Drosophila melanogaster: one gene and its partner. The protein of the gene in region 1 interacts with the protein of each later gene in a pairwise test. Each region holds a gene or a part of one and is shown in the gene's direction. Other genes may lie near its edges. The genes, in order: CG14191 and Frq2.

What was found.
Region 2: the proteins of CG14191 (region 1) and Frq2 interact in a two-hybrid assay, tested with the Drosophila melanogaster proteins (one large-scale study listed by BioGRID).

What each region holds. Positions count from the first base shown.
Region 1 is NC_004354.4:19,079,673-19,083,144, forward strand, and holds CG14191 (uncharacterized protein), read left to right. Parts: upstream 1-1,992; 5' UTR 1,993-2,071; coding exon 2,072-2,077; intron 2,078-2,192; coding exon 2,193-2,768; 3' UTR 2,769-2,894; downstream 2,895-3,472. Other genes in the region: CG7423 (uncharacterized protein), read right to left, coding at 3,133-3,472.
Region 2 is NC_004354.4:18,175,779-18,180,853, forward strand, and holds the start of Frq2 (frequenin 2), read left to right. Parts: upstream 1-1,833; 5' UTR 1,834-2,313; intron 2,314-2,747; exon of another isoform or gene 2,748-2,906; coding exon of another isoform or gene 2,907-3,656; exon of another isoform or gene 3,657-3,694; intron 3,695-5,075. Other genes in the region: andorra, read right to left, coding at 2,907-3,656.

The sequences.
Region 1 (3,472 bases):
CCGACTGTGCTAACTGAAATGCATTATCGGTAATTGTTTTCTGCAAAGCCACATTAAATGTTTTCAACAAAAAGCCTTTGCTATCCAACGTGATTTCTATGCTATGCTCCAGCTTTAATAAAAGATTAATATGCTAAATCACCACTTTTAGCATTTTAGCAATAAGAATATCTTTAAGTGCTGCGAGTGCTGGCCTCTTAGAAAAATGTTCCTTAGATTGGTTTTCCTTGATAATTCGAGCATCGTGCCGCCGTTGGCCATTATAGTCATTCCAGCCGAATATGAAATCACCGACAATCAGCGGGAAATGTATGGCTCATCTATCAGATCGAGAAGTGAAGGTTGGCTTTAACTTCAACTTCAGCACCAGCTTTTGCTGCAACCGAATCGAGTTGGTGGAGCGGCAATTAATAGCATTCTGCTTGACCCATCGCCACTGCGGGCCAAAAGTTAATGGAGCTGCGATCGCGTTGGCCGGATTAATCAAGATCGAAATTGTTTTGGGTACAGAGATGGCAAAGTTACTCAACATAAATGTGGCTTCAAAAACACAGATTGATTTGTCCACTTAGGGTGCAAGAACTGGAACTGGGGAACAACACAAAAAAAAATTGATTAAAAGTCGTACGAAACTAATAATTATATGTGCTTAAAGTTGGGACGAATCTGACTATAATAATACACACAGGTACACCAGCCATCTGGCAATTGAATTCCAGGTACTAATAACAATAAAAACAAAAAAAGTACACTTTTTGCATCGAATTCGTAATAATATTGCGACATAGCATAATTAAGCGTGATCATTTCTATTAAAGTAAAGTACCTGGTTATTAAAATGCCCAGGTACACCGCCCATTTGATATCCACCACTAGATGATGGTGCGATCGCTACCTGTTTATTGGATCATGTTGCTGGCAGCTATTGTTTATTATTTTTGCAACTTTGTGTCGATTTCGATGAATTGCATAACGAGCTGAAAATGCGCCATCGAAAGGTTTTTGGCCCGGCAAGTGCAGTGCCTTCGTCTTCGCCAAGGGTTTCCTCCAACCGACCTGGCGATGCAAGTTAGCCCACTTGACAGCTCCGGGCTGCCTGGATTGCAACATACAGTACAGTCCGCGACATAAATTAGCCCGCAGCGTGGGGCTTGTAACTTGCTGCTGCTTGGAGCAGCAGAGCTTAGAGCTCAGTGCCGCGGGTGGAGATCGGATGCTGTGTGCATGGAATGGCGTCGTGGAGGTTATGGGGATGGGGTGGGGTCAGGGCCGTTGCCCTCATGCAGACAACTGGACAACGCTGGTGATGGTAATGGTAATGGTCATGGTAATGATGATGCCGCAACTCAAAACGGACCATCGCGTGGACCGGCAATTAGTGTGTCAAACACGAGCAGACTCCACACAGTGACATTATTTCTCCGTATTGTGGGGAAATCACTCAAAGGCATATATGGGAAATGCCAATTTAATAATTATTATACTTTATTTCCCTTTAGTGTACGATGTGAAAAACTAAAAACAATAGGAAACAAATATTATACAAAGTTATTGTATATAAGCTCAGATACGGGGGGAAATTGAAGTCTTAAATTACCATAAAATCAATAAAACATGATCGCGAGATTAAAAGTAGTACTATCAACTACTATATAAAGTTGTAAATATACAATTTCAAAAGGCATACCAGTCGGTAATATTCGTCAAAAATGTATGTTAAAGTATGTATTTACCTCCTTGACTTTTCGATTAAAGTGATTACTTTAGTGATTTTTATTGGAGTTGTTTCATTGCGCTGAATACATCTTAAGTATATCTTGCTCCGCCAAGAGATGGATTAATTAGTGAGTAACCATGCCTTGCTGTCCGGTTTGGACGCGACTCGACCCACTGTGCGCCGCAGCTGTTGGGGCAGGGCAGGGTTAAGTGAGCCAAGCTGGTTACCGAGCATCCGAGTCGCTGGCCATAAAAGCGGCGGCCAAAACGCTGCAGACCACAGTCGAAGATCGCCCTTCCAGTCCGACACAGTCGCAGTTCTTCCGAAGCAATCAATACTCTCAAACACGCCAACATGAAGGTGCGCCAATCGCGGATTAACACTTTCACAGAAAGTGAAACCCATTCTTCGAATATTTTTTTATGTGTACCCTTTTGTGAGTTCAACTAACGCGTTTCCTGCCAATCTCTTGCAGGTTTTCGTCTGCTTGCTGGCGGTGTGCAGTATGGCCCATGCGGGTTTCCTGGGCGGCGGCGGCGCAGGAGGTAGTGCCCTCAGCTCCGGCTGGTCATCCGGCGGAGGAGGAGGAGGATATAGCGGCGGATACAGTGGTGGCCATGGAGGAGGTGGTGGCTACGGCGGTGGTGGCTACGGCGGTGGTGGCTACGGCGGCGGTGGCCACGGAGGCGGCAGCACGATTAAGATCATCAAGGTGATCACCGATTCCGGAGCTGGTGGTGGTGGCTACGGAGGTGGCTACGGGGGTGGCCATGGAGGTGGCTATGGAGGTGGCTACGGAGGCGGCTCCTCCGGTGGTTACAGTGGCGGCCACGGAGGCGGTTGGTCATCCGGCGGTGGATACGGCGGTGGTGGCTACGGAAGCGGTGGCAACGTCAAGATCATCAAGGTCATCTCCGACGCCGGATCGAGCGGCGGGTATGGCGGCGGCTACGGCGGTGGTCACGGTGGTGGATACTCCTCCGGCGGTGCCTCCAGCTACTCCGCCGGCGGTTGGGCTCCTCAGGGCGGTTGGGCCCAGAGCAGTTGGTAAATGCTCTCCGTTGGTCAACGGATACTAACTTGTTACTGTTTCTCACTGACCTTAATTGTAAATACTTCCCAACATTAACCAATAAAACAGTGCGGTATAGAAGAGCCATTTCCACTATCAAAACAGAAACTAATGTTTCTTTTTTAGTAATAATCCGATATAGAGATTCTCGATATAAATCCACCTTGTAATTCCAAGAAAATTCGTTTTCAAGATTGTAAGAGCTGCTGATGCATCGCTTACAATCAGTCAGCTAGCAAATGAACCTATCAAAAGGTTACACTAAAAATTTGCAAAATGTACAATAGGTGGATCTCCCATATATGATGCCCTGTCAGGAGTTACGAGGACATCCCCAAGGACCTCAGTCCCGCGCCAGGAGCCGTCTAATGTCCTCCTGCTCGGCGGCCTCCGCGTAGCTCTGCCCCTCGGGCGTGCGCTCCGTGCGGCTGGCTCCCATCCGGAGCAGGAACTCGACGCAGCGTGTATGCCCCTCCCATATGGCCGCCAGGAGCGGTGTGATGCCGTACTTGTCCTTCCTGTCCACCTCCGCGCCGATCCGCACAAAGAACTCCAGCAGCTTCAGCTGGCCAAAGTCGGCGGCGTAGTGCAAGGGGAACCGGACGCCCATCTGATCGTTCACATTAAGCGATCCGGCTAGGAAAATTCGCTCCACCTCGTCGTACACGCCGTTCTTGATTGTC
Region 2 (5,075 bases), 900 kb from region 1:
CAGAGGCGTCGACATCGTGTTTATCTAGGCAGCCCAACTATTTATAATAAAAGGCTGCCAGATTAAAAACACCAAAATAGATTCTGTATCTGCAGCTGCATCATCTCTGGCTGTATCTGTATCTGTATCCGAATGTATCTATACAACAAAATAGCAATAAATGCGAAAACAATGAGCAAACGTTCGAACAAACAATTCTTACAGAACCCACCCCCCCCCTTTCGGCACGCCCCTGACCTACACAACCAGAATAAATAAACAGTAATTATAATTGGCCTGTTTCGGTCTCGAATTCGATTCTTTAGGCATCGGCATCGCATTCGAGGCAGCATGAGTGAGTAAGTCGCTGCGGGCGTTGCTGCCGCAATCGACGTCGATGACGCGGTATCGCCCTATCCCCCTCCTCCCGCCCCCCCAAAAAAAAGCGCCCCTCTTAGGTGCGACCATTAAGGCCCCCTCTTTCGTGCACAATTGCGAATTTATTCTTCGCGCGTTCGCTGGCGAACTGCAAATTGAAACGGGAAATGGAAATGCTGCTTCTGCGTCAGTTGATCGTCATAATCAATGATCGGCAGGCAGATACTTCAACCAATCTAATCGGTTCCAAAGAGATCTTAAGAGACCATTTAGTTGATGGAATACATAGAGCAATTGAGAAACCAATCAATGTGTATGTATTGTATGAGCAGCTATAAACTTGTGCTTCATTTCGAAGAACAATGCATTTAATTATAGATTACTTTTCGAATAGCATTCGATGCTGGCAGGAATTTGAACTTAAATACTTTGTTGGCAACTTAACAACTACAGTATATACAGAAGATTTATGGGCATTTAAACGAAAATCAAATGTTTAATTATAATATTGAAAGTGTTGCTTTTTGGCGGCTTTTTGATCCGTTGGCCAGCGTAATATAAAACAAACTATTTAAATTCGAGTGTAGAATAAGATTGGATGATAAGATTGTGCCAAAAATATCTTAAAGATTCTTCTAGTTTTGTTCTCTATTCGAAGCGAATAGAGATGATCCAAGGCAATAAAAAGGCAAACAAATTGATACCGATTCTGTGAAAGGGGGACAATGTTTTCGCTTATTTGACATTTTTTGAAAAATTAAAACAAAAAAATAATGCAATACAGATAAACACATAAGGAGAATATTTAAAGTGGTTTAGCATCTGTAAAGTAATAAAGAGCATTGCCAATTTCTATAAACCTAGTAGTTTATTAGATTTAAGAAATATTTAAATAGTTAAATTCAATTAGTAATTTGACCTTTTGGCCTTTTCCTTGCTGACTTGAGTGTTTTAAGTTCTAAAAATCGAAATGAATGGATTAAAGAGGTTCTATTTGGCGATAGTGTCTGCAGAGTTCGCCTAGGTGTTGTTATATTCAACCGATCTAAACACATGTATATATATATATATACAAATACGAACAGCAGCAGCCCAATAAACGGTTCGTTTGATTTGACTGCCGGCCCGCCTCCGTATCTTTATCTGTATCTTTAGATATAGTATCTGTATCTGTAGCAGGGGCAGGCGTTTTATTGTTTATTTGCCCGCCGCTTTGCCTTTTGTTATTCGCCAGAATTTTTATTATTTACTATATTTAGGCAGAGGCCAAGAGGAAGAGCAACCTGCTGAATAATTAGTCACAGCCCAACCACGACAGGCGGCACCTGCAAGAAATGCAAAGTAAATTCTTCAATTGCTCAATTCCTCAGCCCATCCCTACGCCGACTGCGCTGCTGACGTCGACGCCAACGCCGACGGCGACTGCGACTGAGGCCCAGGCCATTTGTGCGACTGCTGGCATTCGATTGCCATTCGCACAAGTTGCATGTTCGCGACTCGATTTTCTGTTTCGGTTCGGTTTCCTCATTGTTTTTTTTCGGCTTCCTCTATTTATTTTAATTTTTTTCCGAATTTTTGTTTGTTTTTTTGGGTTGCTCGCGTGCGCTGTGCATATTGGAAATCACCACCCGCCCATTTGCCACCCACTTTGGCCAGCAAAAGCAACGCCAAATAACAAATAAAAAAAAAAAAAATTTAAAAAAAAAAAAAACAGCCAGGGAATTCTAATTAAGTGTGCGCGCTAATGCGTTAAACTGCTAGCCAATTTGTTTTAAAGCCAAAGTGAAAAGGCCTTTATAGTCCATTGTTGGCTGCTGTTTGTTGCTGTTTCGCCTTCAATATTTGAGTGGAAATTACATCCATAATTACGCTTAATCAGTCGATTACTGTCATCGCAAACACGAACCAATCCGCAGACCCACCGCCGCGTTTGATGACCACACAAATGAGTGCCAGGTATGTCGTTACTTAGCCCCGGATAAACAATATCACCCCTAACCTCCCAATCCCAATCCCAATCCGAATCCAGCTAACCAGATAATTAGGCAGATTTCCCGCGGTGGTTTTGATGGTCAGGATGGATGGGTGGTATTTTGGGTGGCAGTTTGCGATTGACAATTGGCTTGCAGTTGCATTCGATTTGCGGTCCACGTGCGGTTGCATTTATCTTTGGGCACATACCCTGCGGTTATTACGACAGTTTTAGGTCGATGACTTTGGCATTCCTCGGTTTATCATGGAAAATGCGATTTTAATCATAGTTTCTGGGTTCTGCGATGCGCCGCTATAGCAGCTTGTGGCTATCAATCACATGAAGATCACATTAGGACACCAAGTGATGCATGTACTCGAAAAAGAACTAAGTAAGAACTGATGGCCATCAAAACTTTCTAAGAGCTTATCACACGCTAGATTTTATTGTATGAATATTCAGAGATATAAAATATATGTATAATTGGAATTTGCCAAAGATGCGAAAACTAATTCAATTTAAACGTATCAGCTACAGTAAATAAAGAAGCCAGGAATGAACTGCACTGCTCCTTCGTTTAACAAGGCATCTGAATCTTTTGGTGAGTGGGATTCGTTTCAAGTTGCTGCAGACACAGGCGACACATACGCTTGTAGATGAGGAGCTCGGGTGGGGGAAGTGGTAGCAGTACGTACGAGCCCGTGGGCTCGAAACCCTTACTCCTATATTCCACATAGAGCGACTGCCTCCAGAGTGAAGTTTTTGGGAAATAGCCGATTAGCAGGAAGTCCAAGGACACCCGCCATTCACCAGCTGTCGAGTTTAGGGCCACGGCGAAGATGGCGAACGAGGCGAGCAAGCGGAACACATCGAAGACATCGCCACGCAGGAACAGATTGCGCACTGCGGCCGGACAGCAAAAGATCCAGGAGCCCCATTGACCGCGTCCCAGGGCGATGAAGAGCTCCTCGAAGAGGCTCAGAAAGGATTGCCACAGCTGGCAGTCGATCCAGTGCACCAGCTGGAGCAGTAGCATTATTTCGGACAGCAGCATCAGGATGTGGACGCGGTGACGACACCGGCGCACCCAAAGTGATCGATACTGCATGATGGTCATGAGTGTGCCGCATCCAAAGTAGACTCCCGCCCAGCGTTCATTGTCGCCCACGATGTGCTTAAGCGATGGATCCAGTGGCGATACCATGCCATGGATCAACGGACGCCAGCGATTCCAGCGCACCAACATGCCAATGGCCAGGATTAGCCAGGTCTCGTAGAGATCGCGCAGCATTTCCCACGACATGCTGAGTTCATGATATCGATTCATCTTGGGCTGGAAGGGAATAATTTTGGATACTATGTACTGTGTAAAGGTGGAAAATGTAGAAAATACTGAATATCTACGTGTCGACTACTTTGATTGGCCATCCGGTAGCTTTACTTGTTGGGGATGAGCATAACTACCACCTCATCGCGCAGGTTTATTGATTAGCTTATGTTCTCACCTTAAACAGTTCACGTAAATGAGGCAACAACTGAAGCATCTGTAGTGGCACCTGCAAGTGTTTATGCATCGCTCTCTTTTTGTTTTTCATCTCCTTCTCCCTTGCTCGCATTCCATACTTGTACACACTTTCTAACACACACACACACACACATGTGCCCGAGGCCTAATAGTCGCCACAGTGGACTGGATACTTTAATTTCCCATTCAAAAATATTAACGAAACTTTGCTTACACATATGATTATTTTATTCTATGCAGAAATTTAGTGCTGCATACTTTTAGACACCTTACGAAGTTTTTTAAGTCTTACTCAGTTTTTTATAGCTAATCTTCTTAGAAGTGCCAAGTGGTGAACTAAAGACCCCCCATTGAATTAAATTTCTTTGCATGCACTCAAACGAAGATAAGAAAAATAATTATATCTAGGTATTTTTCTAATTACTGCATTTTCTTGTTTTTTTCCACAAACTGACATTCGCTGCAGGCGCTGCCTCCAAGGTGTCTGGCAACTAGAACTAACCCCATCGTGCCACCACCCCAACTGCCAACTGCCACCTGCCACACACACCCACACACACAACCAATGCCCCCCGTTCTACCCCCTCACCCCCTCTGTCGTCGGGCCGAAGTAAACAGCATTCGAGGGTAGTGTAAACAATCATTGACCTCGTTCATATTTCTTGGAGCGCTCGCTCATTTGCCTTTGGCCCGAGTCCCAGACGTTGACTCTGCCTGGTCGCAATTAAAATTGTTGTTTAGCTAGTTGCCCCCATGGACGACGTCGCCCCCTGGTCACCCCGTCATCCTGGTCCCCATTTACATTCCCATTCGCATTTCGTGGGGAAAACAGAATCATTCGGCAGGCGGCATTTGGGCACCAATTAGCCTTCGAGAAAAGAGGCAAAAATCTGATTCCATTGCGATTTCTCTGCCCCGGCAAATGATGATGAGCACAAGGCACAAAGGCAAGAAGCCAGAAGGAATTAGGAATCAGGAGCTGAAAGCAGCCCAGAGCCCAAAAGAGCCAAATCACGATAGGCTCAATGGCAAAGACACAAGAAAAGTGAAACAATCAGGGATCCGGTTAATCGGAAAAACCGAACTGGGCCATACGCTTTTATGGCATATTCATTTTAATGGGCATGTTGAGTTTGCAGCACTAAAGTTCCGATAACTATTATCCACTAAAAGTGGCAAATTTTATATTCAGCTTTATAGTTTTATAGTTTGGCAAGAGGA